3 linked regions of the Macaca mulatta genome follow. The protein of the gene in region 3 purifies or fractionates together with the protein of the main gene of each other region. This does not show direct contact. Links are inferred from orthologs where the notes say so. Each region holds a gene or a part of one and is shown on either strand. Other genes may lie near its edges.

Evidence for each region. The genes of interacting proteins can lie anywhere in the genome.
Region 1: the proteins of DLD (region 3) and DLST purify together in Homo sapiens (affinity purification with mass spectrometry; 3 studies listed by BioGRID and IntAct, counting the BioPlex papers as one, with this or other methods). This does not show direct contact. The link is inferred for Macaca mulatta from reciprocal best matches to the Homo sapiens genes DLD and DLST.
Region 2: the proteins of DLD (region 3) and PDHA1 purify together in Homo sapiens (affinity purification with mass spectrometry; 4 studies listed by BioGRID and IntAct, counting the BioPlex papers as one, with this or other methods). This does not show direct contact. The link is inferred for Macaca mulatta from reciprocal best matches to the Homo sapiens genes DLD and PDHA1.

Annotation. Positions count from the first base shown.
Region 1 is NC_133412.1:148,084,645-148,095,254, reverse strand, and holds part of DLST (dihydrolipoyllysine-residue succinyltransferase component of 2-oxoglutarate dehydrogenase complex, mitochondrial), read right to left. Parts: intron 8,996-10,610; coding exon 8,940-8,995; intron 8,819-8,939; coding exon 8,744-8,818; intron 8,218-8,743; coding exon 8,162-8,217; intron 6,749-8,161; coding exon 6,637-6,748; intron 4,835-6,636; coding exon 4,682-4,834; intron 4,322-4,681; coding exon 4,245-4,321; intron 3,356-4,244; coding exon 3,258-3,355; intron 1-3,257. UniProt on the Homo sapiens protein: Dihydrolipoamide succinyltransferase (E2) component of the 2-oxoglutarate dehydrogenase complex. The 2-oxoglutarate dehydrogenase complex catalyzes the overall conversion of 2-oxoglutarate to succinyl-CoA and CO(2).
Region 2 is NC_133426.1:19,083,209-19,093,818, reverse strand, and holds part of PDHA1 (pyruvate dehydrogenase E1 component subunit alpha, somatic form, mitochondrial), read right to left. Parts: intron 7,594-10,610; coding exon 7,534-7,593; intron 6,994-7,533; coding exon 6,820-6,993; intron 5,690-6,819; coding exon 5,563-5,689; intron 3,901-5,562; coding exon 3,809-3,900; intron 2,493-3,808; coding exon 2,400-2,492; intron 1,332-2,399; coding exon 1,176-1,331; intron 1,003-1,175; coding exon 931-1,002; intron 1-930. UniProt on the Homo sapiens protein: The pyruvate dehydrogenase complex catalyzes the overall conversion of pyruvate to acetyl-CoA and CO(2), and thereby links the glycolytic pathway to the tricarboxylic cycle.
Region 3 is NC_133408.1:147,510,656-147,521,265, forward strand, and holds the end of DLD (dihydrolipoyl dehydrogenase, mitochondrial), read left to right. Parts: intron 1-5,009; coding exon 5,010-5,200; intron 5,201-6,305; coding exon 6,306-6,476; intron 6,477-6,787; coding exon 6,788-6,977; intron 6,978-7,436; coding exon 7,437-7,574; intron 7,575-8,522; coding exon 8,523-8,612; intron 8,613-8,706; coding exon 8,707-8,772; 3' UTR 8,773-9,476; downstream 9,477-10,610. UniProt on the Homo sapiens protein: Lipoamide dehydrogenase is a component of the glycine cleavage system as well as an E3 component of three alpha-ketoacid dehydrogenase complexes (pyruvate-, alpha-ketoglutarate-, and branched-chain amino acid-dehydrogenase complex).

The DNA.
Region 1 (10,610 bases), on a different chromosome or scaffold from region 3:
GCATGAAAGGTAAGATGTGGTACAATTTTAACAGCCCCCTTCAAATCTTTTGTTTTTGAAAAAGGAAGTTTTTCCAAGGGGGACTGATTGGGTTTAAAATGCTTGTTTTCCTGATTCTAACCTTATTTAGTGCTAGGATTACCACCCTAAAGACATTACTGGTTCCCAAGACACAAGAGCTGCAGAAGAGGGAAAGAGATGTGATAAACATCTCTGCTCTCAAACCTGCCCAAATGTCATTGTCTGGTCATTAAGTAGTTTCTATTTCAGAGCTCTGCCCTTGGAGGCAAAGGCTGGGACAACAGGGAAAGGGAGAAGGTCTCAGAAAGGTCCCTTATGGGTTAGCTGATCAGCACAAGACCCAAAGGGCACTCGATCTAAACCAAATTAGGCTGCAGCAAGACTGCAAGCCATTGTTAAGTGACACCTTGATTAGCTGCTGAAAGGAGATCCAGCTATTATGCTTACTTTCCAATCAAAGCTGTTGGGCCAACTGCATCTTTCAGGGACACAAATATTTACATGTTTTGTCTTAAGAAATTGGGTAGAATTTCAAAGTCCAATTCAATTTGTGTACAATTTGGCCCTAATGCACTGAAACATAAGCTGCAGCCTTTGTGATTCATTAGTCAAGGTCCTTCCCCTACATCCTGTGAACAAGAGAGAAATCTTTGGCTTGAATGTCATCCAGTCTCTTCAGAAAGTTTCCCAATAGAATGGATGACATCCAGTAAAACAGGTCGCAGAGCCCTACTCTAAACAATACCACAGCACACTACCAAGAAAGCTTCCCTTCTCCCTATTTTCAAAGCCTTCCCAAAGAAAAGCAAATTTCTCTAATGAAAAGTAGATATGCAGACTAAACCCTCAGGACAAAAAGAAACAAAGAGATGACCTGAGACTTGATTTGCTTCCTGACTTAAATATAAACTCCTACCCTGGCATTCAAAACATTCTCAAGTAAGGATCCAACCTTCTTTACCATTCTTTGCTATACATAATCCTCACAACAGAAATGATTTTTGACAATTTCTCAAATGTGTCTTCTACTTTCCCATCTCATGGTCTACACTGTTAACATCGTCTGGAATGACCTTTCTCCACAAGGCTGACAAAATGCTAGCCATTCTTGAAGACCTGTTTAAAAATTCTTTTCTGGCCAGGCCTGGTGGTTCATGCCTATAATTCCAGTGGGAGACCAAGGCAGGAGGATGGCCTGACCCTAGAAGTTCAGGAGACCAGCCTGGGCAACACAGCAAGACCTTGTCTCTACAAAAACTAAAAAAATTGGCCAAGCCTGGTGGCACATGCCTGTGTTCCCAGTGGTCCCAGTCATTTGGGAGGCTGAGGCAGGAGGATCACTTGAGCCTCCCAAGTAGCTGAGACTATAGGTCCACACCACCGTACCTGATTTTATTTTATTTTTTTTGAGATAGAGTCTCATTCTGTTGCCCAGGCTGGAGTGCAGTGGCACAATCTCTGCCACTGCAACCTCCTCCTGGGTTCAAGCAATTCTCGTGCCTCAGCCTTCCCATTAGCTGGGATTATAGGCACGCGCCACCATGCCTGGGTAATTTCTGTATTTTTACTAGAGGCAGAGTTTCACCATGTTGGCCAGGCTGGTCTCGAACTCCTGGCCTGGCCTCATGTGATCCAACCACCTCAGCCTCCCAAAGTGTTGGGATTACAAGTGCGAGCCACTGCACCCAGCCCTCACTTGGCTAATTTTTAAATTTTATGTAGAGACAGTCTCGCTATGTTGCCCAGGGTGGTTTCCAACTCCTAAGCTCAAGCGATCCTCCTTCCTTGTCCTCCCAAAGCTCTGGGATTACAGGCACGAGCCATGGCGCCCAGTCTATAACCCCACTGAATTCCACAGTACAGTACTCTGTACACAGTACACACTCAAAACATGTTTGTCAAATTTCTCTTCCTGACAGTGCTGATACCTGAACACATCAAAATCTTGAAGAAAACAGGTGAGTCAACAATTAGCTCACTACAGAAATGGGCATACCCAGTGAATTAGTACCTTTGGTTAACATTCTAAGGTTAGTTAAAAACACAACTTGTTTTCCATTTTACTATCAAAGCTGGGTAAAATGAAAGACAAGCCTAGCCTATCTTTGCCTTTTCATCTACCCGATTCTGAATCACTTAGGAAAACATGTAAGGAGCAACCCCTGTGTAAAAGAAGTAGGATGTGGTGCCCAGGCTCTCGGCATGCTGTCACGGCTTCTCCATCCCGAGTGGGAGACCTTTGCATAAACCACGTTGGCCTGGTTGTCCCATCTCTGTTTGGCAACCTGACACTAGTCAGAGTGTACAACTATGACTACTCTCATTTATCAGAAATCGCAAGATTCAGGTTTAAAAGTCTAAAATGCTAAGTTGTTGGGTTTTTCTTGAGACAGGGTGTCTCAGTCTGTCACCCAGGCTGGGGTGCAGTGACATGATCTCAGCTCACTGTACCCTCAACCTCCTGGGCTCAAACGATCCTCCCATCTCAGCCCCCCAAGTAGCTGGGGCTACAGGTGTGCACCACCACACTTGGCTAATTTTTGTATTTTTTGTCGAGGTGGGGTTTCACCTTGTTACCCAGCTGGTCTTGAACTCCTGGACTCAAGCAATCTGCCTGCCTCGGCCTCCCAAAGTGCCAGGATTATAGGTGTGAACCACTACACCTAGCCAAGGCTAAGGTTAAGGTCATGGAGAAGGCAGGCATAGTATCAGGAAAGCCAATTAGAGAAGAAGCCAGTGGGTCGCTCTGTGAAAGTTAACAATAAACAGGCCGGGCGCAGTGGCTCACGACAGTAATCCCAGCACTTTGGGAGGCTGAGGCGGATGGATCACGAGGTTAGGAGATCGAGACCATCCTGGCTAACATGGTGAAACCCCATCTCTACTAAAAAAATACAAAAAATTAGCCGAGCGTGGTGGCAGGCGCCTGTAGTCCCAGCTACTCAGGAGGCTGAGGCAGGACAATGGCGTGAACCCAGACAATGGCGTGAACCTGGGAGGTGGAGCTTGCAGTGAGACGAGATCGCCCCACTGCACTCTAGCCTGGGAGACAGTGAGACTCCGTCTCAAAAAACAAAACAACAACAAAAAAAACAATAAACAAAGCAAAGAAATACCTCTTCCCTGACAAGTTAAGTTTTAGAATCAGCACTAGATAAGGAGATAAGGACAGGGGCAAGTTCGAGTGTTCTCTAAGAAAAAAGGGCCTAGGGGATAACAGGGGCTAGAAACACTACCTCATGTCAATCTCATTAAAAGTTGTCAGCATTGCACATGTATTCTGGGCCTCCTTCAGACGCTGAGCAATGCGCTGCCGCATCCTGTTCATTTTCTCCTGAAAGCGAGAGTGGAACAAGCATTGATAATCTGATCTCTCTGGGTCAAGCATTCCCCGTGTAGTCAGAAAGAACATGGCCTGCCACGAGTGGATGGCCAAGGGCTATAGTACCTAAGTAAAACAAGAGCTCCAGGCTTCCCTTTCCTGTAGTGGCCCTTTCTCCTCCAAGCAAAAACATGCAAACACAGGCCAAAACTACTCACTCAGATGTGCCTGAAGCTTGACCAAGAATGAAGGCTCAGAAACGGTGATTTAAAAACCAAAACCAATTTATGAAAGAATGTAGTGTAGTGTAGTCTAGCCAACATAAGAATCATAAGAAAAAGGGCACTTTCTATTGCTAAAGACTTGCATGACAATAGCTATTTGTGGAACGGAACCTCATAAGCAACAAACTTTTGAGGCTATCATATTTTTAGGAAGTATTCTCAGGCAGAAGAACCACACTCTTGACCATACTTCCTTGAGGTTTTATGTCTGCACCTGACAGCTATTGCTACTGAGTATTATCCCTTAGCTACAGCTAAGTATCCCGGAAGTATAGGAATAGAGCTCACTAAACCACCTCTCTGAAGTGTGTGACATCGTGGGAGGAAGGGGGTGAGTTACTAAGCTACCATCCCCTACAAATATTTAACTTACCCAAGGCTTTCACTGAGCATAATATAGCAGGAAAGCCACTGAACAAGTGTTCAGAAGACCTCGGGTTCTAGTTCTATCATTTGATGGTGATGTGACTATGAAGAAGTTATATTCTAAACTCCCTTTGTCAAGGTTGAGGGAATGAGCTGCCAGCCATTCAAAGGTAGGCACCACCACACCCATACTCCACTAATCTCAACACTGCCCCCTGCCTCTTTCCTGGAAGTGGTCCGCAGAGGCTTACCCGATGTTCTGAACGCAGACCTTTGCCAGCTCCTGGCTCAGCTAGTGGTGGGGCAGCAGTGGGTTTCACTGCAGACACTGAAAATGAAGAGAGGATAAAGTGGCATCAGACAAAGAAAGAAACATCTACTGAGTTTGTGCCAGTGCTTTCATATGTCCTGTTACTTAACCTTCAAGATATTCTGAGGTGTATTAGTATCACTCCAACTTCACAGATGAATAATCCGTTCAGATAAATTAAGTGACTAGCCTAAAGACACACAGCTAGTAACAGAAAGCTGAGATGCAAAACAGAACTTCAGATACAAAGTCGAGAATTCTTTCTACAAGGCAGTCAACCTGGCCTGTTCAGAACCATGATTAGTCTTAGAGTTTACCCTGAGGCAACATATTAGACGAGATGTTCCCCCACATGACACGTGGGAGTTGGAAGCCTACCAGGTTTGCTAGAAGAAGGTTGTGAGGGTGAGGGCACTGGTGGCATCTGAGTGGGTATGGGTGCTGCAGGGGGAGGAACTGGCACTGCTGTAGGTTCTGCCTTTGGGGCTGCAGCAGCAGGAGCTTCGGCCGGTTTGGCCTTAGCAGGAGCAGCTGAAAAACAAGAAAAGTAGATGCCACTGGCACTATCTGAAATGGAAAGCAACCAAATCACAGCTACTAAGCCAAATTTAGTGGCAAAAACTCTAGCTCCAATCAAGTAACAAATGTCTACTGGGTATTGGCAATATGCAAGGCACTATGAGACACACACACAATGACATAAGGCACTATTCTCTATTCCTCAGGGTCCCTGAATGTCCATCAGATAACTGGCTCAATTTAGCTCCCTCCTCGATTTCACAGGTTTCTACTGAATAAATTCAGCAAGTACTTTCAAAGCACCTACCAAGCCCAAGAAAATGTAAACTTCCAAGAGAAAAAAAAAAGTCTAGGCAATTTAAAATATTGAAATGCATACATAAACGTATTTCTAATTACTGATACTCTCCATCCTCTATTCTAACATTATATATGCAAGAATACTACTAAAAAATAGGCTGGGTGCAGTTGCTCACGTCTGTAATCCCAGCACTTTGGGAGGCCAAGGCAGGCGGATCACGAGGTCAACAGATCAAAACCATCCTGGCCAACATGGTGAAACCCCGTCCCTACTAATACAAAAATTAGCTGTGCATGGTGGCACGCACCTGTAGTCCCAGCTACTCAACAGGCTGAGGCAAGAGGATCACTTGAACTCTGGAGGCAGATGTTGCAGTGAGTCAAGATCAGGCCACTGCACTCCTGCCTGGGCAACAGAGCAAGACTCCATCTCAAAAAAAAAAAAAAAAAAAAATTAAAAAAAAAAAATTCATCGAGGGCTGACTTAGGCTTAAAAAAGCGCTTCATCCAGGATGACTCATAAATCACTGAGGTGGCCAAGTAATAATCTCACAACTTTAAATGAAATGTTTGTTTCTATTTTTCACCCATCTGGATATTACATCCAGGGTTAGTGCTAAGACAAACTTCTGCAACAGGAGGACTACCCTTATTTCCTAGCCTTCTACCATACATGTTTTCTACTCTGAGCTTCTGGTCTTGCCTGATTAACCTCAATCATGTGGTCGATCTGCATTATTAGTGTAACAATGAAAAAGAAATAGACATTTGTGACTCGTTGGTCTACGAGTATGATTCTCGCTTAGGAAAAAGAAATAGACATTTTAGTGGTTATAAAATTTCACTAAGAGTCAGATAAACAGTTATTAATCTCTAATCCTATCAGGTCTAGTACAAATTGTTTCTCATTTCTTCCCAAAAGAAATACCAACCCTTCCTAGAGATATGAGAGAATAGATGTGATAAGAAACAACACTGAATTCCCCATAATAGACAACGAGCATTTCCTTTGAGCATTACGTCAGTGCTCAGAAAGTTCTGAAGCATTTCAGATTTTGGATTTTCAGTTGTGGAGCATTTTAGATTTTGGATTTTCAGTTGTGGAGCATTTTAGATTTTGGATTTTCAGTTGTGGAGCATTTCAGATTTTGGATTTTCAGTTTTGGAGCATTTCAGATTTTGGATTTTCAGTTTTGGAGCATTTCAGATTTTGAGTTTTCAGATTAGGTATGCTCAATCTGTGTATCTATAAGAAAAGGTTCAGTTTCTCAGCTCCTGCTAAGAAACACCCATGGAAAGAACAGAGTATGAGGTTTATTTTTTTAAAAATAAACTTTTCTTCTAGAATTTGACATTTAAAGTTCACACTATATATAAATTTACCCCTTATTCCCTCAACTAAGGGCAGCTGGAATGACAGAGTCTTTGACATATCAGGGAATTAGCACATTATGCTCAGTCCCAATCCCAAGAGGGAACACTGGAGACCTTGAGCACCAGGAGAACTTCTTTACCACCAGTTTTCCTGAGTGTGAAAAGCGGAGTGCCTCCTTCGACTTTTCCCCCATCAGGTACCAAAAGAGCTTCAATCACGCCATTTGCTGGTGATGGAACCTGCACAGATGTCTGGAAGAGGAAGACAGATGGAGGAAGTCCAAATGTTTATCCAGCATTAGAAAATTAGCTGTATAGAATATCCAACGAAGCCGGGCACGGTGGTTCATGCCTGTAGTCCCAGTACACTGGGAGGCCAAGGCAGGTGGATCACTTGAGGTCAGGAGTTCAAGACCAGCCTGGCCAACATGGTGAAACCCTATCTCTACTAAAAACTACAAAAATGTAATCCCAGCTACTTGGGAGGCTGAGGCAGGAAAATCGTTTGAACCTGGCAGGTGAAGCCAGTATCGCACCATTATACTCCAGCCTGGGTGACAGAGCGAAACGCCGTCTCAAAACAACAACAACAACAAAAACCTCCAATGAGTCACAAGAGTGGTAACACAATATATAAGGCCCTGCACACAAACACCTAAGGCCACAATTTCAGAGCAAAGGTGATGACAAGTCAACGCTATTGTGAAGATTCACCCTTTCTGTCCTTTCTCAGAAACATTCAGGCAATATTCAGTTAATAGGTTTCCAAGTGATACAGGAAAAACTGGAAACAGCTTACTTACCCTCCTCACCCCATCACCACACACTACAAGACTAAAGCTACTAAATGAAGTACATAGTACACACACAGCAAACAATTTAAAGTTAAATGCAGGTCAGGTGCGGTGGCTCACGCCTGTAATCCCAACACTTTGGGAGGCAGAGGCAGGCAGATCACCTGAGGTCAGGAGTTTGAGACCAGCCTGGCGAAACCCTGTCTCTATAAGAAGTACAAAAATTAGCCAGGTGTGGTGGCATGCGCCTATAATCCCAGCTACTAGGGAGGCTGAGGCAGGAGAATCGCTTGAACCCGGGAGGTGGAGGTTGCAGTGAGCTGAAATCAGGCCACTGCACTCCAGTCTGGGCAACAGAGCAAGACTCCGTCTCAGAAAAAAAAAAAAAAAAGGAAGTTGGCCGGGCGCGGTGGCTCAAGCCTGTAATCCCAGCACTTTGGGAGGCCGAGACGGGCGGATCACGAGGTCAGGAGATCGAGACCAGCCTGGCTAACACGGTGAAACCCCGTCTCTACCAAAAAAATACAAAAAAAAACTAGCCGGGCAAGGTGGCGGGCGCCTGTAGTCCCAGCTACTCAGGAGGCTGAGGCAGGAGAATGGCATAGACTCGGGAGGCAGAGCTTGCAGTGAGCTGAGATCCGGCCACTGCACTCCAGCCTGGGCGACAGAGCACGACTCCGTCTCAAAAAAAAAAAAAAAAAAAAAAGGAAGTTAAATGTAAAAAGTTTTTTTTTAAATTGAACAAATCCAATAATTTTACAACTGAGGTTAGAGCTAGTTAAAAATTATCTCTAAACAACGGTTAAGTCCCTGTTTCATTAGGTTAACTAAGGGAAGCCCATGAAAAACTGGTAATATAAGATAAGCCTACCTTGTCAGTTTCAATCTCACAAACCACTTCATCTTCTGCAACGGTGTCTCCAACAGCTGAAAAGACAATCAAAGGCTACCTGTTAGCGGGGAGCCTCCAGTATGTTACAAGAACCGTTTCCTACAGGGCCAGCGGAAAGTACATATGTAAAGAAAAGGGCAGAGCTATAAATTCTACAACTATCCTTGGCGGAGGGGAGAATTTTAGAAAGCACTTAAACTTAAGAAGTGAGAGGAGCCAGGCACAGTGGCTCACGCCAACACTTTGTGGCAGGCCAAGGCGGGCAGATCACCTGAGGTCAGGAGTTTGAGACCAGCCTGACCAACATGGTGAAACCCCATCTCTACTAAAAATACAAAAAACTTGGCCATGCGTGGTGGTGGGCACCTGTAATCCCAGCTACTCAGGAGGCTGAGGCAAGAGAATCACTTGAACCTGGGAGGTGGAGGCTGCAGTGAGCCGAGATCATACCACTGCACTCCAGGCTGGGAACAGAGTGAGACTCTGTCTCCAAAAAAAAAAAAAAAAAAAAAAAAACCAAAAACAAAAAGAAAAACAAGAAGAGAGGAAACTAAATCTTACCTTTCTCCCACCTGACATCTCCCTCTGTGACAGATTCTGCAAATGCTGGGGTTTTGACTGTAACCAAGTCATCCTCTAGGAAAAATGCAAAAAAGAAAATCACAAGTAGTTCATTTTTCATTATTTTTCTTTAATTAAACTCAATCACTTGTTGCTCTTCCCATAAAATTCCATTCCCAAGAAGGCAGGTACTTACTGCATACAGCTGTAGTTCTGAAGAAGCGAACACTGAAGACACTGTTGTTGTTAATGCTATAAAAGAAACACACGTTAACTCCTTTAGCAGGTGAACCACTCACACTTTAGTTAAGGCCCCATGGGTCACCTTTCCCTTAAACAGTGACTCCTGACCAGGGGTGTACATCAGTGTCACTTGGGGAGGAACCTTTTCAAAGTTCACATGTCTAGGCCTCTCCCCCAGGGATTCTGACTCAGCAGGTCTGGAGTAGAGCCTAATGACCCAGGTACCTTAGACGGTGAGCTCCCCAAGTACGCCCAGGCCCCTGTGTTGCAATGCAATGCTGGCTCTCACAAAACAGACTTACATTTGGTTCTTTAAAGAAAAAATAAGCACCTTGGTCCTTTGTAGACTGAAAGGACCTAGAATCTTGATTTGGTTTTTTTTTTTTTTTTTTTTTTTTTTTGAGACGGAGTCTCACGCTGTTGCCCAGGCTGGAGTGCAGTGGCGCGATCTCGGCTCACTGCAAGCTCCGCCTCCCGGGTTCCCGCCATTCTCCTGCCTCAGCCTCCTGAGTAGCTGGGACTACAGGCGCCCGCCACCGCGCCCGGCTAATTTTTTGTATTTTTAGTAGAGACGGGGTTTCACTGTGGTCTCGATCTCCTGACCTTGTGATCCGCCCGCCTCGGCCTCCCAAAGTGCTGGGATTACAGGCTTGAGCCACCGCGCCCGGCCGGTTTTTTGTTTTTTAAGAGACAGAGACTTGCTCTGTCACCCAGGCTGCAGTACAGTGGCATGATAATAGTTCACTGTAACCTCGAACTCCTGGACTTAAGGGATCCTCCCACCTCTGCCTCCCAAGTAACTGGGACTACAGGCACATGCCACCCAGCTAATTTTTTTAAATTACTCTTTGTAGACTACGGACTTCATTGCCCAGATGGGTCTCCAAGATCCTGCCCAAAGCGCTGGGATTACGAGAGTGAGTCACCATGTCCAGCCAGGTCTCTTTCTTAACTAAATCCAGAATAGATATATGGCTTGCCCAGGGTACAAGCCATTGTGCAAGGTATAATGGAATTTCTGCCCTCAAGATAACAGATTCAGATCAGATAAGGCAGCAAGATTAACAAGACTAACTCGGAAGTAAAACAAGGTGTTATGCCAAAAAAAACAAAACAAAAACCCCAAAACAAAAAAACCACACACAAACTCCATATGGTATCTCCTACTCGGTTCTCCTGCTAGAAAGCAGCACATCAATACATTCTGGACTCGTTCAAAATGAACCTCAAAGACCAAGGCATTTACAAATATGGCCTTTACAGTAATAACAGAAACTGGAGAATGAACTCACCCTGTATGCACAAAGCCATTAACAGTGGTTACCTCTGAGGGGTGAGAGATATAGACATACACGGTATCTCTGGTTATGTGTTGCACACTTACACCATTTGGGAGAAAGATTTGGATTGATGGGGACTTTAACTTTTTACACTTCAGGATTGTTTGAATATTCTACAACAAGCATTTTTATAATAGAAAAGTAAAATAGATTTAAGTTGCCTTTAGGTATTTTTACTTTTATAACGTCAAAATAACTGTAAGGTCTATGTATAACCAAGAAAAAAATGAAGATATTTAAAAACTACAGAATACAAAATGTTCTTCATATAGTTTGTAACCATG
Region 2 (10,610 bases), on a different chromosome or scaffold from region 3:
AGAATTGTGAAGGTTATGTGTTTGGGAAGTCATACATTCTACAAATCACCATGTCTCCAGCCAGGGCTGGCCCCCATGTATTCTTTTCAGGAATTGGGAGAGGTGGGGTCAATATCCATCACTCAGGGCCTGGCACTCCCAGCCTTAGGGTCCTGACAGACTGCTCAGCCCATTGTATCCAAGCTGTCATCTTGGTCCTGCTCTAGTTCATTCTACTCATTAGCTCTTATTTAATGTTACTACATCCCACCCTTACTTCCCTGTCTCCCCACTTTCTGACATTTGCATCACTGCCCAAACATACATGGTATGGCACTGAAGTGACAACTTCAGAAACCTTGTGTCTGGGCTGTGGAACACTAATTTAGGGAGAACACCTAAACCTCCTAAGCCTATACTAGTGCTGAAGGAACTGAAACCTCTTTAGGCCAGTCTCCCTGTTACCATCTCCCTCACTGCCATACACTGAAGGGAAAGATCCTTAGGACTGAGCAAGACTAAGATTACAAGCTTCAACCATACTGTTTGTGTAAGACACACATATTAAATGCCTATTGTATACATGACATTCTATGCTGGACACTACGGGGATCCCCAATCTGTTCCTTCAAGGGACTCATGATTAATGGGGGGTGGGGAGGAGGGACAGAATTAACCTAACAAAAAGGCAGTGTAGTTGTCATGATGAAGACAGGCGAAAGCAGAGGAAGCACCAGGACAGACTTCCCCCAAATGAGAGAAATGTGGGCTTCCCAGCAGGTGAGCTACCAAGACCAAGCTACCCAAAGGAGCCCTGCTTGCTTCACTCTGCTTCCATCTTGTGCACCTCAATTAGCAGCTACCCACTAACAGCTTCAGCAGGCACACGGGAGGCAGTCTTTGAACTTCCAGAGATAAATGTCATTAGCCCAGAGGCCTTTAGAGTCTTACCTTCCCAGATCTACAATAGGCGGCAGCAAACCTTGTCGCCTCTCGGACGCACAAGATATCCATTCCATCCACCTGTTAATAAACGGGAGGGGCGAAGCATGAATCCAGCTGCCCCAAACCATTTTACTTTCACATCACCTGCTTATGTTTGAGAACGAAACTCTTCAATGTTTCTAAGATTGTCAAGGGTCTGCACAAGGACATACCCCTGGCCTTGGCCCCGGCCCCACCACAGGTGTCCTTACTCTCAGCCCAGGAATGAAATCGCCTCTCTTGTAGTAATCAGTGCTGGCTGCTGCTCTCTCAACAGATGTTCCCATTCCATAGCGATTATTCTCACAGATGAAAATACAAGGTAATTTCCACAAAGCTGCCATGTTGTAAGCTTCAAATATCTGGCCCTGGAAGTAGTTATGAAAAGGGGTTTCATTTGGCTTCTTTCTCTAGGATCCATCATCTGTAACAGCTGCTGCTCTGCCTGGCACAGAAAGCTTTCATAAAGCACAGAAAGCCTCCTCTTCTAAAACCGAGCTTTGGGCTGGGCACGGTGGCTCAGGCATGTAATCCCAGCACTTTGGGAGGCCGAGGAGGGTGGATCACGAGGTCAGCAGATCAAGACCGTCCTGGCTAACACGGTGAAACCCCGTCTCTACTAAAAATACAAAGTAGCCGGGCATGGTGGCAGGCGCCTGTAGTCCCAGCTACTTGGGAGGCTGAGGCAGGAGAATGGCGTGAACCCGGGAGGCAGAGCTTGCAGTGAGCGGAGATCGTGCCACTGCGCTCCAGCCTGGGCAACAGAGCAAGACTCTCTCTCAAAAACAAAACAAAAAAAACAACCAAAAAACCGAGCTTTGGATGGTGAGGGAAAGCGGGGTGGGTGACAGATGAGAAGCAGCAGGCATCATACTCTTGCAACTAAGAAAGATGACAAACCAACTACTACTTGTTTCTTTGGGGCCATGCTAGCAGTAAGGAACACACTGGAAAAAAGATCAGTATGAAATCTATCGGGCCCACTGGATAGTCAGAGTGAACCAGCACCTAAGAATCAGCCTCTAGAACAGGGCTTCACAGAGTACCGGCCACAGACTGGGTATTACTCGGTACCAAGAGAAGCACAAAAACTGAATTAGGACTGAGACGCTATTACCCGAATTTGACACTGCCAGCGCGGACATCCAAGAGAATGGGTCTGTATCATTTTGCAATAGGTTAGGGGAGGTCCTTTATCAAGCACTGATATAGAGCAAAGGTGAGCTCCTTCACAGGAATGCGCCCCCCTAAGTCTTTTGTGAAACAATGCTAAAAGGTCACTCTCTAATCTGGCCATAAGTCAACCAAATTTGAGCTAGCCATAGGAATTACTATTTCACCTAATAAGCAATAAGCTGCTTCTTTGGAAATTCAACTGTGAATATTAAACACTTTGAAAATAAGACCGTTATTGGAAAGTTAAGAGACATAATTACCTGGTTAGCAGCACCATCGCCATATAAAGTCAGGCAGACCTCATCTTTTCCATTATACTTACAGGCTAGAGCAATCCCAGCGCCCAGGGGCACCTAACATTAAGGACAACCGAGAAAGGAACCATAGAAATCCATGAGGGGAGATATCAATGCCCTGCATTTTAACTCCTGGTCAGAATCTGGCACAGAAATTACACTGCTGCTACAAACTCTCCTTCCAACCCCATCTCTCTGTTTATCCCACCCCCGATACTTTCAATGAAGCAGTAAAGGAATATATAAATACTATGTTCTATTTTAACCAGTAAGCAATAACATTTCTGCATTCAAGAGTTAAAAAATAAAACGTGGCCGGGCATGGTGGCTCACGCCTGTAATCCCAGCACTTTGGGCAGATCACGAGGTCAAGAGATCGAGACCATCCTGGACAAGATGGTGAAACCCTGCCTCTACTAAAAATACAAAAAATGGCTGGGCACGGTGGCGCTTAACTGTAGTCCCAGCTACTTAGGAGGCTGAGGCAGGAGAATTGCTTGAACCCGGGGGTGGAGGTGCGGTGAGCTGAGATCACACCACTGCTCCAGCCTGGGCGGCTTAGCAAGACTCCATTTCAAAAGAAAAAAGGGGGAAAAAAAAAGTAGGTTTTTTAAAAAAACACATAATAGAATCTTAATATATTAGGAAGAGAAACAGTTGGGATATAATTTTGTGCTGTTAATTCTTCATCATCCACTAACTGATGAGAACAAGGACTCCATAATGAAGTTGACAAGATAAGGCAATGTACTGAAATACAAATAGGAAGGGGAAGGTAGGCTCCACTGCTAGAGGCTCTTGCTTACTTATAAAATAGCAGACACCTAAAAGGAAACATTATAAATCACCATCCAAATCTACTCAACTCATCGCTCAAATGGTAGGATATGAAGCACTAGGTCTTTAAAAGCAAACCAAGCCCCCAAAATACAGTCACGCATCGCTTAACAACAGGGATATATTCTCAGAATTGCATCACTAAGCTATTTTGTCGTGTGAACACCATACTGTAATGCACAAACCTAGAAGGTACAGCCTACTGCACACCTAGGCTGTATGGTAGAGCCTACTGCTCCTAGGCTACAACGCTGCACAGCATGTGACTGTACTGAATCCTGTAGGCAAAATATTTGCGTACCTAAACATAGAAAAGGTAATGTGTTGTGCCACTACAACATCACTAGGTGACAGCAATTTTTCAGCTCTATTATAAGTTTATGGGTCCACCATCATATATGCGACATTGACCAAAGTGTCACTGTGCAGCACATGGCTATACTACTTCACGAAAAGTTGTCTGGGGCTGGGAAAGTTTTTGAAGACAAAGGCCAGGGCCAAATCTAAAGCAGCACACAGTCCTCGTCCTTGACTACCTGCGCTCCCACGATGCCATTGCCCCCGTAGAAGTTCTTGGCATACATGTGCATCGATCCTCCTTTCCCTTTAGCACAACCTCCTTTTCGTCCTGGAAATGGCAGAACATACACATGTGCAGCACAAACCAACTCTACAAAGCAAACCAAACCACACCCCAAGTGGCTCAACCATTAGAACGCAGAGGCCAATTCAGTCATCTAAGTACCTGTCTCTCCAGGCAAACACGTTTCTGCTTGTCCTTTTACTAGTTCCATGTGCTTCAACCTTTCCAGCTTTTCCTACTCTCCAGTCACTTAGTTTCCTTCAGATGTTAGCAAAAGTCCAGATGGTACCCTAGACTTTTTTGGTTTTTTGACCAGTTACCAACATCTTAGGACCTCTCCTCTACTAGTACACTAAATATATTCAATCCTTGAACAGGGTTTGAACTGCACGGGTAAACTTATACAGATTTTTTTTTTTCAGCCACACATGGATTGAAAATACAATATTCTCAGGATGCAAACCCGAAGATATGGAAGGCTGACTTCAGGACTTGAGTATTTGAGGATTTTGGTATATTCAAGGGTCCTAGAACCAATCCCCTGGATATATGGAGGGACAACCATAGTTCAAGAGTCCAGGAGGGCCGGGTGCAGTGGCTCACGCCTGTAATCCTAACACTTTGGGAGGTCGAAGTGGGTAGATCACCTGAGGTCAAGAGTTCGAGACCAGCCTGGCCAACATGCTGAAACCTGGTCTCTACTAAAAATACAAAAATTAGCCAGCTGTGGTGGTTTGGCACCTATAATCCTAGCTACTCGGGAGGCTGAGACAGGAGAATTGCTTGAACCTGGGGGATGGAGGTTGCAGTGAGCCAAAATCACACCACTTCACTCCAGCCACTCCAGCCTGGGCAAAAGAACGAAACTCTGTCTTCAAAACAAAAAAAAAAAAAGAAGAAGAAGGGCTGGGCACAGTGGCCCACACCTGTAATCCTAGTATTTTGGGAGGCTGAGGCAGGCCACTGCACTCTAGCCTGGGCAACAAAGCAAGACTGTCTCAAAAACACAAAACAGGCCAGGCGTGGTGGCTCATGCTTGTAATCCCAGCACACTTTGGGAGGCCGAGGCAGATAGATCACCTGAGGTCAGGAGTTGGAGACCAGCCTGGCCAACATGGTGAAACCCCATCTCTACTAAAAATACAAAAATTAGCCGGGTGTGGTGGTGCATGCCTGTAGTCCCAGCTACCTGGGAGGCTAAGGCATGAGAATTGCTTGAACCTGGGAGGTGGCAGTTGCAGTGAGCTGATATCACACCACTGCATTCCAGCCTGGACAACAGAGTGAGACATAGTCTCAAAAAAAACAAAACAAAACAAAACAAAAAACCAAAACAAAAAAATAGTCAAGGGGGACAAAGAAAAGGGGAATATTAAGAAGATTTCTAGAATTTACATCGCATACCAAGCTTCAACCCAACTTACTTTTTTATGACTGCTAGACTTCTGCTGGCATGCTTGAATGATAACCAAACCTATTGTGATTTTATAGCACTAACCTGTTTTAAACTTTTACCTGAGGGGCCAGAGAACTTCACAAATGGTCAGTTAACTCAAGAGCACAACAGAAGTACCAGAGCACCAAAGGAGAGAGGGTTAAAAAAAGAAACTTAAAACTTTAAATATTAACTCATAAAATAGCATCTTAATGAGAGATATTTAAAAACTTAATCCACTCATTTCCCCTTTCTGTAAATCAACAGCAAACCTGTAAGCTCTGCGAGAATTTCTCGGACGGAAAGGCCCCGGGTGAAGGTAAAGCCATGAGCCCGGTAGGCTGTTATGAGATGGTCTGTGGGGTTGATGCCGGCTTCCAGGCCCACACAGCAAGCTTCCTGTTAGAGGAAGGAGAAACTATGAAGCAATACGATACATGTTTCTAAATAAAAACGTTTCCTAGACCGTAGTGAAATATTTGGGCTAGTAGAACCTGTCATTAATAACCAGAGAAAGTAGCTATTTTCCACCAAAATACAGAGCGGACGGCCCAAGCCAGAAGCAATAAACTGGCAACCCACACATGGGCCACTTCCTTCCTTTCTCCTGTATGATGACCTAAAAGCAAATCCTACATCAGATGTCAACATTAAAACACTGGGGAATTTCACATGAAAATCCAGACTTCCGCCTTCTCTTGGAGACATGGAAAACAGGAAGCATTACCCCTGATTTCCACATGGCACCAACTGGCTGGAACCAAGTCATGGCATTCCTCTGGGTAGGGCATGCTGGTCCCAGTTCAGCACGAGTCCCTGTCACCATTCTGTTTTGTATACCTAGCCTTCTTCACTCATTTATTCTACCTGGCTGGCCCTTATAGGTATTTGATTCTATAACCCTTGACATAAGCCCACAAAACAAAAAACAAACTAATCCTTTCTCTCCAAATTATATACAGTACAGGTGATCACAGTGCCAGAAAGTTTTAAAATAGTAAAACTCTGAGAACAGGTACAGAAAACTGGCAATGTTATGTGTGAATGAATTCTTTAGCCTAAGCTTCATAGCAGGTTTTGGCATTCTACTTTTTAATTCTAAAATACTGGCTTCAGCCAGGCACAGTGGCTCACGCCTATAATCCTAGCACCTTGGGAGGCTAAGGTGGGCAGACCACTTGAGCCCAGAAGTTTGAGACCAGCCTGGGCAACACAGTGAGACCCCGTCTCTCCAAAAAATACAAAAATTGGCTGGGTCTGGTGGTGTGCACCTGTGGTCCCAGCTACTTGGGAGGCTGAGGTGGGAGGACTGCTTGAGCCCAGGGGGCAGAGGCTGCAGTGAGCCATGATCACACCACTATACTCTAACCTGGGCGACAGAGAGATTGTCTCAAAAAAATAAATAAATAAAAGAAAATTACATTACCAGCCTCAAACTCTTCTGATACATAAGGCAGGGTAAAGCCCAATAAGTACAAGCCATACTTCAGTACCTAAAAACACAGTTCTATCACAAACCTACCACTCACCTGACCATCACACAAGTGACAGAAACCACGAATAATTTTCTGTTTATACAGCTGATCTGCTTTCAACTCCATTCGGCGCACAGTCTGCATCATCCTGTAGTATTTGAGCCCATCCTCCCTGGTGAGCACTGTTGTGACAGGAGGGCCTTCTTCCAGTCGGTGAAGGTCACATTTCTGAAATGGAATAAGGTAGTTATTATCCTCCACATACTACACTGCAAACACTGTTGACCACTCTAAGATCTAATTCCATTGCAAATAATATTGAACTTGAAAAACTGCTAAGGAGCACATTAGTAATGCTTCATATCGCCTCTGTTCCTTAAATCCATAAACCTCACTGTGCAATGAGATGGGGTTTGGGGAAAGGAAATCTTTCTATGATTTTCACTGAAAGCCCCTAGAAGCCAACTGAGATATAGGTTGAAAGAACCTTCAAAGAAACAACTAAGACTCTTCTTATTCAAATATTTCACTGAATTACTTTCTAAACTTTAGAATAAGCTTTTATTTTTATTTTCTAGCTCCTCCCCCTACCCCCCACAGAACAACAGCAAGCTGCTGCTAATAAATTCTAGTTTTCGTGAAGCTTCTCTGAACCTCTGATCCTGAACGTTTAGAAGAAAATGACTGAACATGTTCTATTCTAAAAGTAAAACTGTATATCAGAGTGTACCTGTGAAAAAATTATTAACAAAGTAAAACACCTCTTACCTTAATTTCAAATGTAGCATCATTTGCAAAATTACGAGATGCTACCAGCACTCTGCTTGCCTTAAAAGACAAAAATATACAAACAAATCAGTCCTTTTTAATTGTCAGCTATTTTGGAAAGTATAACTATTAATCAGTTATCAGGATGAAGTTATGGAAATTTAATAAGCCCCAACGTACTCATAGGCTTCTCTTCCACCCTGTGCACTGTGTTTGCATCTTTCTTAGCCTCCAAAATGAATTCATGCTTTGGCCAATGAAACATGATCATCCCGCCATCTGAAGGCAAGCAGTGCAAAGAGGGGCAAAAACCAAACCCATCCTTTGTTTTCAAAGAAATTATAGTTGAGAATATAATGAAATTAGTGGCTAAAGAGACTAGATCATCTGTGAGCTGTGTTTGTTTATGCCATTCTTTTGTTTGTTTGTTTTGAGACAGAGTTTTGCTTTTATCACCCAGGCTGGAGTGCAGTGGCGCAATCTCGGCTCACTGCAACCTCCACCTCCCGGGTTCAAGTGATTCTTCTGTCTCAGTCACCCGAGTAGCTGGGATTACAGGCACCCACAACCACGCCCGGCCAATTTTTGTATTTTTAGTAGAGACAGGGTTTCACCATGTTGGCCAGGCTGGTCTCCAACTCCTGACCTCTGGTGATCCACCTGCCTTGGCCTCCCAAAGTGCTGGAATTGCAGGCGTGAGCCACTGCGTCCGACCTGTTCATGCCATTCTAGTCATAACCAGATACTGTTCATTTTGAGCAAGCCAAAATTATACTTCAAATAAAACTATGATTTAATCCCCACTCCAGGGGAAGTTGACTCTTCTATCAAATTGTATCTGTAAGAAAAAATATTTTAAATTGATTGAAGTATGAGATAAATACATTAGGGAGACAAGACAAAAGAAAAGATACTTAGCACTCTCTGACTTAAACACAATGTGCTTGAGCCAGCTGTTTTATAATTTATAATTCGAACAGCCTAAATCTTGGGTAGGCTCCTCCTGAAGCCCCAGTAGAAAGAAACGTTCTCTAAAACACTGTTCTCTTGACGTTTGGGTGGCTGTCACTGTTTGGAGGTAAAAAGCTTGGGAGGAGGCAAGAAATGATTCCTTTCCAGTTTTACAATTGAGCAAACCTGCTCACAGCAAAAGTATTCTATGTAATGGCTAAGGTTTTGGTTAGATGACAGTATTTATCCAGTTAGTATTATCGTACTATTTTAACTCCCTTCTGCCATATTCTCACACACTGACATGTAAACCAACATAATTTCTCCATAAAAAGCACATTTGATGTGTTCATACTTTACGTAATCCAGCAGTGGACTGGATCTTGGTGAGAAGAGTTAAGACTGATCTGCCAAGTATATGCTGGAGTGTACAAGCCAATAGGCAGAAAGCTAATTACATATCTCTTCATCCCTCAATAGACCATTATAGGACAAAGCCAACAAACACAGACAATGACAGTGCTGGAGGAAAACAACTGAAATACTAAGAATCAGTGTTTCAGTTAACTTACAGACAGAGACAGTCCACTAATGTATCTCAGAAAAACTGAAGGGAATTTAGGAAGAAGTAAAGCTGAGAGAGGGTGAAACAGCAAATCAATGGTTATATTTGGCAATCATCAAACAGATGTGTTATTCTTGGCAACTAATAAATTATTTTGTGGGGCCAGAAATGTACTGTATTGCGAAATAAATTTCCAAATACAACTAGAGAAACTGCAGTTTTTGGAAGGCAGGAGTCCAAATCAGCCAGGAAACAGTAACAGAGGAAAGGTAACTTCTTTCTCAATCCTAGAGTTGAAACGATGAGGCAGGATAATGCTATACAATAAAGAGCAAGAAGGGGCCCAGTGCTGTGGCACGCACCCGTAATCTTGTGCCTGCAAAGATTAGGACTGCCAGAAAGCTACTTAGATACATTCTCCCCTGGCTTCATTATTGTGTATCTCAAAAATAAGAACCACTGATACGAGTGAAAGGAGCAAAGTTAAAGAAGCTAAAAGTCCTATCAGAAGTGTGAGTGTATCATAATTTCTGAGAGCTTGTTGAAAAGATAAGTTTACTATTCATTTTCTCTGGAGAGTCATAAAAAGATTCTCTGTTAAATGGGATTCCTCTCTGACAGAGACCACGAACAACCCATTCAAATTTTAAAAAATAATAATTAGGCTGGGCATGGTGGCTCATGCCTATAATCCCCAGCACTTTGGGAGGCCAAGGTGGGAGGATCACTTGAGGCCACGAGTTCAAAGCCAGCCTGGGAAACATAATGAGACTCTCATCTCTACAAAAATAATTATTAAAAAATTAGTCACGTGTGGTGGCGCACATCTGAGGCTACAGTGAGCTATGATTGTGCCACTGCAGTCCAGCCTAAAAAAAAAATTAATTTAAAAAAAGTAAAACTTTAACTTCCTAAATACATAGGAATCATTCATGTGGAAGAGGAAAAATGTTTCAAAAATTCCATATTCTAACAGTGTAAATTAAAACTCTTACCTACCACTTATAAAGCCAAAACACAGTAAAGATCTCAAAAAGTCATACAGAAATGCAAACAATAAAACAAAGAATAACATTTTAAATGCAATTCTGTCTTCTTCCATGAAATAAGAACTATGAAAACTATAGACCTTATTCAAAAATGAAAACACAATCTTGAAATTCATTTCAAAGTTTCACAACACACACTCTTTGATAAGACAATGGCAATCTTTAAACCTGAGATGAATCTCCCCACCTGCCTGGTTTTAAGAGAGTGAGAGCAATCCCAGCACTTTGGGAGGCCCAGGTGGGAGGACTGCTTGAGCCTGGAGATGGAGACCAGACTGGGCAACATAGCGAAACCATGCCTCTACTAAAAAAATTTATTTTTTTTAAATTGGCTGGGTGTGATGGTGGCGCACGCCTATGTTCCCAGCTACTCAGGAGGCTAAGGTAGGAGGATCGCTCGAGCCCGGCAGGCTGAGGCTACAGTGAGCTGTCATCATGCTACTGCACTCCAGCCTGGGTGACAAAGAGACTCTATCTCAAACAAAACAAAAATACCAGGGAGAATAAAAAAT
Region 3 (10,610 bases):
GTAAGTATTTTAAAATCAGTTTTCCTAAAGAGTAGGGCGCTTGTCTATGCTCATCACTCCCTACTTTGAATTAGACTCCAAGATGATGTTTCTTATCATTTCCACACTCCCATTATTTCCCCTCTATTTACTCCTATCCCAGTTTCCAAGAATGGTCCTTTTTTTTTGTTTGCTTTTTAAACAGCTTTATCGAGATATAATTCACATACCAGTTCACCCATTTAAAATGTACAATTCAAAGGTTTTTAGTATATTCATAGAGTTGTACAACTGTTACCACTGTCTAACTCTAGAACATTTTCATCACCCTAAAAGAAACTTGGTACCCATTAGCAGTCATTCTCCATTTCTCCCTTTGCTCAGCCCCTGGAAACCACTAATTATACTGTGTCTATGAATTTGCCTATTCTGGGCATTTCATATAAATGGAATCATACAATATGTATTATTTTGTGTCTGCTCTCTTTACATAGCATAATGTTCTTATGGTTCATCCAAGTTGTAGCATGTATCTATACTTCATTTCTTTATATGGCTAAATATCTCATTCTCTGGATATGGCACATTTTGTTTATCCATTCATCAGGGGTGGACATTTGGGTTGTTTCTACTTTCAGACTATTATGAATGACACTGCTGTGTCTATTTGTGTACAAGTTTTTGTGTGGATATCTGTTTTCATTTCTCTTGGGTATATAACTAGATGTGTAATTGTTGGGTCATATGGTAATTATTTTAACTTCAAGGAACACCGTTACACTGTTTTCCGTACAATCCCACCAGCAATGTAAATTTCTGTTTGCTCCACTTTTCCACTGGTACTTGGTATTGTCATTTTTTTAAAAAATTTGAGCTGTTCTAGTGGTTGTGTAGTAGTAACTCATTGTGGGTTTTTTTTTCCTATTTTTATTTTTTAAATTGCTACATAATAGATGTACTTTTTTCAAGGTACATGTGATAATTTGATACATTCGTATAATTAAATCAGGGTAATTAGGCTATCCATCACCTCAAACTCTTTTTTTATGATAGGAACATTGAATTATTCTCTTCTAGCTATTTTGAAATGTATAATTGATTGTTACCTATAGTCAACCCTGCATTAACACCAGCTCTTATTTCTTCTAATTGTATATTTGCACTGATTAATCAACCTCTCTTCATTCCTCTTCTCCCCCTAGCCTTCCTAGCCTCTGGTAACCATCATTCTGCTATCTCCATGAGTTCAGTTTTGTTTTTTTTTTTAACTCTCACATATTAGAACATGCGATATTTGTCTTTTCTATGCCTAGCTTATTTCGCTGAACATACTGTCCTTTGGTTCCATCTGTTTTGTTGCAAATGACAGAATTTCATTCTTTTTTTATGGCGGAATAATATTCCATTGTATATGTGTACCACATTTTCTTTATTTGTCTGCTGATGGACACTTGAGTTAATTCTATATCTTGGCTATTGTGAATAGTGCTGCAGTAAACATGGAGTGCAGATATTTCTTCAATATATTGATTTCCTTTCTTTCAGGTATATACCCAGTAGTGGAATTGCTGGCTCATATTGTAGTTTTATTTTTAGTTTTTTGAGGAACCTTCATACTGTTTTCCGTAGTGGCTTTACTAACTTACTTCCCACTAACAGTGTATGAGGGTTCTCCTTTCTCCACTTCCTTGTCAGCATTGCCATCTTTTTGATAAAAGCCATTTTAACTGGGGTGAGATGATAGCTCATTGTGATTTTGATTTGTATTTCTCAATTAATAATGTTGAACATTTTTTCATACATGTGTTGGCCATTTGAATGTCATCTTTTGAGAAATGTCTATTCAGATCTGGTGCTCATTTTAAAACTGGATTTTTTTTTTGAGCTCCTTATATATTCTGATTATTAATCTCTTGTCAGATGGATAGTTTGCAAATATTTTCTTCCATTCTGTGGGTTGTCTCTTTGTGAATTGTTTCCTTGGCTGTGCAAAAGTTTTTTAACTTAATGTAATCCCATTTGTCTGTTTTTGCTTTATTGCCTATACTTTTGAGGTCTTACACAATGAGTCTTTGCCCAGACCAGTGTTCTGGAGCATTTCTCCAATGTATTCTTTCAGTAATTCTATAGTTTCAGATTTTAGATTCAAGTCTTTAATCCATTTTGATTTGACTTTTGTATATGGTAAGAGATAGGGGTCTAGTCTCATTCTTCTGCATACGGTTATCCAGTTTTCCTAGCACCATTTATCGATGAGACTGCCTTTTCCTCATTGTGTTTGTGATACCTTTGTTGAAAATGAGTTAGCGGAAAATGTGTGGATTTATATTTGGGTTTTTTATTCTGTTCCATTGGTCTATGTGTCTTTTTATGACAGTATTATGTTATGCTATTTTGGTTACTATAGCTTTTTAGTAAATTTTGAAGCTGGGTAATATGATTCTTCCAGGTTTTTTTTTTTGTTGTTCAGGATTACTTTGGCAGTTGAAGAATGTCATTGGTAGTTTGATAGGGATTGCATTGAATCTGTAAATTACTTTGGGTAGTATTGTCATTTTAACGATATTAATTTTTCCAGTCCATGCTATTTTTTGTGTCCTCTTCAATTTGTTTTATCAGTGTTTTTTAGTTTTTTATGTATAGACCTTTCACATCTTTGGCTAAATTGATTCTTAGGTGTTTTATATTCTCTGTAGCTATTGCAAATGGGATTGCTTTTTTTTTTCTTTTTTAGATTGTCCACTATTGGTGTATATAAATGCTACTGATTTTTGTATGTTGATTTTGTATCCTGCAACTTTACTGAATTAGTTTGTAAGTTTAATAGTTTTTTGGTGGAGTCTTTAGGTTTTTCTAAATATAAGATCATATAGTCTGCACAAAAGATTAATTTGACTTCTTCCTTTCCAATTTGATTGCCCTTTGTTTCTTTCTCCTCTATAATTGCTGAGGCCAGGACTTCCAGTATTATGTTGAGAAAAGTGGTGAAAAATGAGCATTCTTATATTGTTCCAGATCTTAGAGGAAAGGCTTTCAATTTTTCCCCGTTCAGTATGATGTTGGCCGTGAGTTTGTCTTACTATTTTGAGATGTGTCCCTTCTATATCTAGTTTTTTGAGGGTTTTTATCATGAAGGGATGTTGAATTTTTATTAAAGGCTTTTTCAGCATCTGTTGAAATGATCATATGGTTTTTGTTCTTGGTTCTGTTAATGTGACGAATCATGTTTATTGGTTTATGTATGTTGAATCATCCTTGCATCTCTGGGATGAATCCTGCTTGATCATGGTGAATGATCTTTTTAATGTGTTGTTGAATTCAGTTCATTGTGGTTTTAACTTAGATTTCTGTAATGACTTACAGGGTTGAGCATTTTTTAATGTACTTATTTGCCATCTCTGTATATCTTCCCTCTTCAGACATTTGTCCATTTTTTATTGAATTTTTCTTACTGAGTTTGGAGAATTCTTTATATATTCTGGATATAAATCCTTTATCAGATAGAAGTTTTGTAATTTTTTTCCCCAGTCTGTGGCTTCTGTTTTTGTGTTCTCAATGTTATCTAAAACTTTCTAATTTTGATGAGGTCCAATTTATCATTTTTCTTTTATGGATTGTGCTTTTGGTGTTACATCAAAGAAATCTTTGCCTAACTCAAGGTCAATTCTAGGATTTCCTCTCCTAGGTGTTCTTCTAGAAGTTTCATAGTATTGGGTTTTTTTTTGTTTTGTTTTGTTTTTGTTTTTTTTTTTTTGAGACGGAGTCTCGCTGTGTCTCCCAGGCTGGAGTGCAGTGGCGTGATCTCGGCTCACTGCAAGCTCCGCCTCCCGGGTTCACGCCATTCTCCCGCCTCAGCCTCCCAAGTAGCTGAGACTACAGGCGCCCGCCACCACGCCCGGCTAGTTTTTTGTATTTTTAGTAGAGACGGGGTTTCACCATGTTAGCCAGGATAGTCTCGATCTCCTGACCTCGTGATCCACCCGTCTCGGCCTCCCAAAGTGCTGGGATTACAGGCTTGAGCCACCGCGCCCGGCCAGTATTGGGTTTTACATTTAGGTCCATGATCCATTTTGAGTTAACTTTTATATGTACATAGTGTTAGATTTTTAGTGTCACTGTATTGCCTCTAGTTAACTCAGTCTTCATACCAGAAATTCATGAGATTTTTTAAATGAATGCCCACACCTAATTTAGGGAAGGTAAACTTGTATAGTTCATTTGAATTACCAGATGGTTTTAGTATACATTCTTGCAAAGGATATGTTCATGGTTTTTCATATTTAATGCTGTGAAATTATGTTTATCTTGCCAGTTATGTATTGTTTAATATATAATTGTTTAGAAGTTATGCTAATTTTCAAAATGTTAAAGTAAACTGGCGTTCAGTTTAAATTATAATTTGAATGAAAAAGTAAAAATTTGTCCTTTGTTGAGAAAAGAAAATAGGAAGCCAGTTTAATATTCTGCAAACATCAGTGATTCGTAGCCTACTTCCTTTTCCTCAAGACCTTTGCACTTGCTGTTTCCCTCTGCCTAGAACAACACTTTTCCCCCAGTTAACTAGATAGTTCATTGCCTCATTCTTTCAAGTTTTGTGCAAATGTCACTCCCAGTGAGGCTTTCCCCAACCGTGCTATTCAAAATTGTAATCCCGGTAATCAGTAGTCCCAGTTCTACTTCCTGTTTTATTTTTCTTGTAGCACTTTATTCTCTGTTATGAACTTTACGTATTTGTCTATGTCCCCTGCCAGAATATAAGATCCTTGAGAACAGAGATTTTAGCTTTGTTCACTAATGTATGCCTAGAAGCTAAAATACTGCCTAGCATGTAGTATTCAACAGATATTGAATGAATAAGTTAATAAATGTATGAAGTTATACATATTTAACACAGGGTTAATTTTAAACCTCAGAGCTTCTCATAGGAACATACTAGTGAAAGAAGAAAATATTTTACAATAAATTATTAAGATGATTTCATAAACATTTGCTATAGAAACTTTTATGATTATTGGGGTTTTTATTTGCAGGGTTCAGTTTGGCAAAGACTTGGTGCAGATGTGACAGCAGTTGAATTTTTAGGTCATGTAGGTGGAGTTGGAATTGATATGGAGATATCTAAAAACTTTCAACGCATCCTTCAAAAACAGGGGTTTAAATTTAAATTGAATACAAAGGTTACTGGTGCTACCAAGAAGTCAGATGGAAAAATTGATGTTTCGTAAGTATACATCATTTGTTTTTGATGTAGCATCCCTGTCTTGTTTCTTGAAGGAAAACACTCAAGTTTCAAAATCAGCTTAGCAAATACAGGTTTTTTTATAACGTAAGGTCATTTTATTACTTAATATCACTCAGTTGCTTATCAAATTATTGCATTAGCACATTGAAATTTATGATTAGGTTAATGCTAGAAAGATTAATCCAATATTCTCATTGTTGTACCTTCTTATAGTGTATTCAGAAAAATTTAAATTCCCAATATTCAATAAAATTGAACCAATATTTTTTGGCAGATATATGGGGAAATCAGTAATAAAAGATTGTTTACTATACGTCTGGTACTCTACTGATTAAATACTTTAGTGGCATTTCACATATTTAATGAATTAGTTCTTAAATAAATATTTAAATTAAATAGTTAATAGTATTTAAATAGTTTAATAACTAACTTTTACTCAAAGATAAGAAGCTGAATTCATTGACTTAATTAATGACTAACTTGCCACACAGCTAGTGAGTGGCAGTCAGTAGTTGAATTTGGATTTTTGTGACCCAGAGACCATATTCTTAACTGCTGGTTTATTATACTGTGGTTTTTGTGAGATTTTAATAATGGACCTCTAGATTTTAATGATAAATCTCTTTCATTGTCTGAGTCTTATGTTTGCATTCAAATAACTTATATTGTTAAAAATGTCATCAGTGCTGGCTGGGTGTGGTGGCTCACACCTGTAATCCCAGCACTTTGGGAGATCGAGGTGGGTGGATCATGAGATCAGGAGATCAAGACTAGCTTGGCCAACGTGGTAAAACCCCATCTCTACTAAAAATATAAAAATTAGCTGGATGTGGTGGTGTGCACCTGTAGTCCCAGCTACTCAGGAGGCTGAGGCAGGAGAATCTCTGAAACCTGGGAGGTGGAGGTTGCTGTGAGCTGAGATTGCACCACTGTACTCCAGTCTGGCGACAGAGCAAGACTCCATCTCAGAAACAAAACAAAACAAAAATGTCATCAACAGTTGAGAAATAACTGGCCTTAAATTTCTAAGCCTATCAATTTATGCAGATGTGTATTTAACATTTATATACTGTTTGTTATCTAGTATTGAAGCTGCTTCTGGTGGTAAAGCTGAAGTTATCACTTGTGATGTACTCTTGGTTTGCATTGGCCGACGACCCTTTACTAAGAATTTGGGACTAGAAGAGCTGGGAATTGAACTAGATCCCAGAGGTAGAATTCCAGTTAATACCAGATTTCAAACTAAAATTCCAAAGTAAGTTGGATAATTGTCTGCATTTTCAGTAATTTTAAAATTTATTTCAAACAGTATTTTGAAAAGTAAGATTTTTATGCTTAGAATATGTATTGGCTTTGGGGAAGAACAGTAAACTTACAAAATGTAAAATAAAAAAGAACTGAATTTTACTCAGAGATAAGAAGCCGAATTCATAGATTTTTGAAGAGCTGCATTTGATACATTTTTTGGTGACTTATTTACTGGAAACTTCTGTTACCATGATTTAACTGAAGATAAGTAGCTGTGCTTTCAGAAATTCATTGTGTTTCTTTTGATTTCTGTGGTAGTATCTATGCCATTGGTGATGTAGTTGCTGGTCCAATGCTGGCTCACAAAGCAGAGGATGAAGGCATTATCTGTGTGGAAGGAATGGCTGGTGGTGCTGTGCACATTGACTACAATTGTGTGCCATCAGTGATTTACACACACCCTGAAGTTGCTTGGGTTGGCAAATCAGAAGAGCAGTTGAAAGAAGAGGTAAGTCTGAACATGGGTGGTTTTACGCCAATGTGTGAGTTGTGCCATTGACACTGGTGGTTGAGAAACAGCATTTTATCATTAGGCTAATGTATTTAACAGCTGTGAAATATAGTTTAGCTTATATATTTTTTCCCTTGTTAGCATTATAAAGAGATCATTCACAGATTTATCAGCAGTAATTGAGAGGAGGAGAAGTTGCTTATATTAAAAAACTAGTAATTCCAGATTTTTTATATTTGGCTTTGAAATATAACCAGATGGACAGACATTTGTATTTGCTTGCATTTGTGCCCAAGATATATTTCATTAACCAGTCTTTTGGTCTTTCCTTCTATGTGCTTTGCGAACAATTGCCTTCTTGGGATTTATTTTCTGAACAAATGGTAGATGATGTTACTAATTGGAATGAACTTTTCTGGCACTTACGTAGATTCTTTTTTTCTGACTGTCACACAGGGTATTGAGTACAAAGTTGGGAAATTCCCATTTGCTGCTAACAGCAGAGCTAAGACAAATGCTGACACAGATGGCATGGTGAAGATCCTTGGGCAGAAATCGACAGACAGAGTACTGGGAGCACATATTCTTGGACCAGTGAGTATTATAAAACCAGAGAAATCCCATTAAGATTTCTAGAAAGCATCACTGTTTATTAATTATAAACCGCCTGGTGTTACTCTGAGGTTGCTCATTTCCAGCAAAACTTTGAATATGGCTCTCTCTACATCATTTCTAGAAGAATACCAGCAGCACTCTCACAGTCTTGCTCACTGTATCATCTACTTTCTGTCCTGCAGCCAAGATTCTCTCTTTAAAACATATACCAGATTATGCCCCTGAAAGTCTTCCAGTGGTGCTTTTCAACTTCAGATTGTTACATCCAGGGCCTCACTGAATCTGTTTGTGCCTACTTTTCTGACCTCTTCTTTTTCTGCTCTCCTTTACTCATTAATTCCATGTCACATGGGCCTTCTCTCATTTTCACAACAGGCCAAATGTTTGCATTTTAGGGCCTTTGTGCTTAAGGTACCCTCTGTTTAAACTCTTCTGCCTCCAGATCTTTGAATGGCTGGCTCCTATTGTTCAGGTCTCAGCTCAAATGTTACCTCCTAAGGGAAGCCTTTCCTACCACTGAGCCTAAAGTATATATCTTTCTTATAGATATCTCTTGTATCTGATGTAACAATAATGAGAATAGAATATTTGAGTGCTGTGTCACTTTAGTATACATTTTGTTATTTTTACATAAGCTTTGTGAGATAGGTGCTGTTATTTTTGAGGTGAAGAAACTGAATGAAGCACACAGAACCAATGAATGGTTAAGGTAGTAAATGGTAGATATGAATTGAAGGCCCTTTGGCTTCAGAGCCCAAGCTCTTCAGTGTCGCCTTTTCTGTTAAGCTTTTCCTGACTTTTCTTCAACTGATAGACAGATTTAAGGCGTTTTTAAGATCTAAAAGCTTCCTCTGTTAACCATTGCTATCCTATTAGCATGTAGTTTTTTACCATGGTAGCAAATTTACTTGGCTTGTTATTTTAAAGGGTGCTGGAGAAATGGTAAATGAAGCTGCTCTTGCTTTGGAATATGGAGCATCCTGTGAAGATATAGCTAGAGTCTGTCATGCACATCCGGTAATTATTAACAACATATAGAATTGATGGTTGCCTAAATTTTCTTCTGGCCCACAAATATTTGTTTTTTAATTCTAAATTTCTTCCCTTGCAGACCTTATCAGAAGCTTTTAGAGAAGCAAATCTTGCTGCATCATTTGGCAAATCAATCAACTTTTGAATTAGAAGATTATATATTTTTTTTTCTGAAATTTCCTGGGAGCTTTTGTAGAAGTCACATTCCTGAACAGGATATTCTCACAGCTCCAAGAATTTCTAGGACTGAATTATGAAACTTTTGGAAGGTATTTAATAGGTTTGGACAGAATGGAATACTCTTATATCTATATTTTACATAAATTTAGTATTTTGTTTCAGTGCACTAATATGTAAGACAAAAAGCTACTTATTGTAGCATCCTGGAATATCTCCGTCAACTCATATTTTCATGCTGTTCATGAAAGATTCAATGCCACTGAATTTAAATAGCTTTTTTCTCTGATACAGAAAAGTTGAATTTTACATAGATGGAGTTAGAATTTGATATGTGAACAGTTGTGTTTGAAGCAAAGTGATCAAGTTATTTTTAATTTGGTTTTCACATTAGAAACAAGTCAGTCATTCAAATAAGATTCAAATGTCTATAAACCAAACTGATGTAAGTAAGTGGCTTCTTGTTTTATTTAACCCCTGAATTCTTTTAGTTTAGGGGTAGAATTTATGTGTTTAAGAGGTTTTTAAGATTCCATTGTTGTCTACAACTCTGAAGGGTAATTACATAGTTATCCAAATTAAGAGAGTCTATTTACGGAACTCAAATACGTGGGGATTCAAATGTATTACAGTGGGGAATGAAGATACTGAAATAAACATCTTAAATATTCATTTACTGGTTATTATGAGTACGTGTTGAGATGGTCGTAGTTTTTTTTACGACTACCTCTAGTGTATATTCTTATTTAGTAGGCCTGAATGCATCTTTATTTTCATGTTATAGGACAATATTAAGGCATTTTAAAGGTCATTATCCTTTCATCTATTTTAGAGACACCTACTAAATGTTTAATATATACTTTTGGAGAAGTATAATATAAGGGAGTCTTTAATCTGTGTTTTCCTTGGCTGGGTAAATGACTATTTAAAGAGTGGTATAAAATTGGATGTGTGGTGTTTAAAATGACCATGTCCTAAGGAAACTTAAGTAACAAAGTACTAAATGCTAAGTAGGCTTTTGTATATTGTAACAAATTACTAAATGCTAAGTAGGCTTTTGCATATTATAACTAAATTTAAGAATAATTCAGATTAAGTAGTTCTGAAATTTGGTATAGATAGCATAGATTGTCTCATGCTCATTATGAGTGACATAACGACCCTGGATTCTGTTACATACTTCTAAAGAAAATTGATAGTTGTCTAACTTGGCTGAACACCAACTCCAAACTCTGTCTTCTTTGTAGGTGGCAGCAGCTGAAATCTCTTCTCAGTTGTTTTAGCTTTACCTATGCTGCTGGAAGTCTTTCCCATGCAAGTGTGTAGTTCAGGGGTCAACCAGAGTTTGGGCAGAAGTCTGCCCCTTCTGTGCCTCCTGTTTTTTTGGGGTTTCCCCTTCATGTTCCAGCTGTTGTGGTTGCCCCATATTCTGCCCTCTGATCCTTAACCAATAAAACTTGGCTTCTGTTTCCCCCTCAAGTGAGAACCTATTAAAAATGAGACATTTAGCCAGTGCTGTTCACTTTTTAAGTGCCAGCTCCCCTCTACTTTCCACCTGTTTGTAGTTGTTTCCAGTGCCTTTAGTTTTTCCTAAAATATGTTTGTTCAGAGTTTGCAGTTGCGATCAGCAGGAGGGTTGGTCTGGTATCTGTGTGCTACTTTGGCATTATTGGAAGTGAACTCTGCATCTTTTTAAAAATTTGAAATCCCAGTATCATGTGAAGTGCTGTTAATGTAAATACCAACATATCCCTTACTCAGGGGAAAAAAAGTTTTTAGTTAGGGAATAGTGAAATATAATTTAAT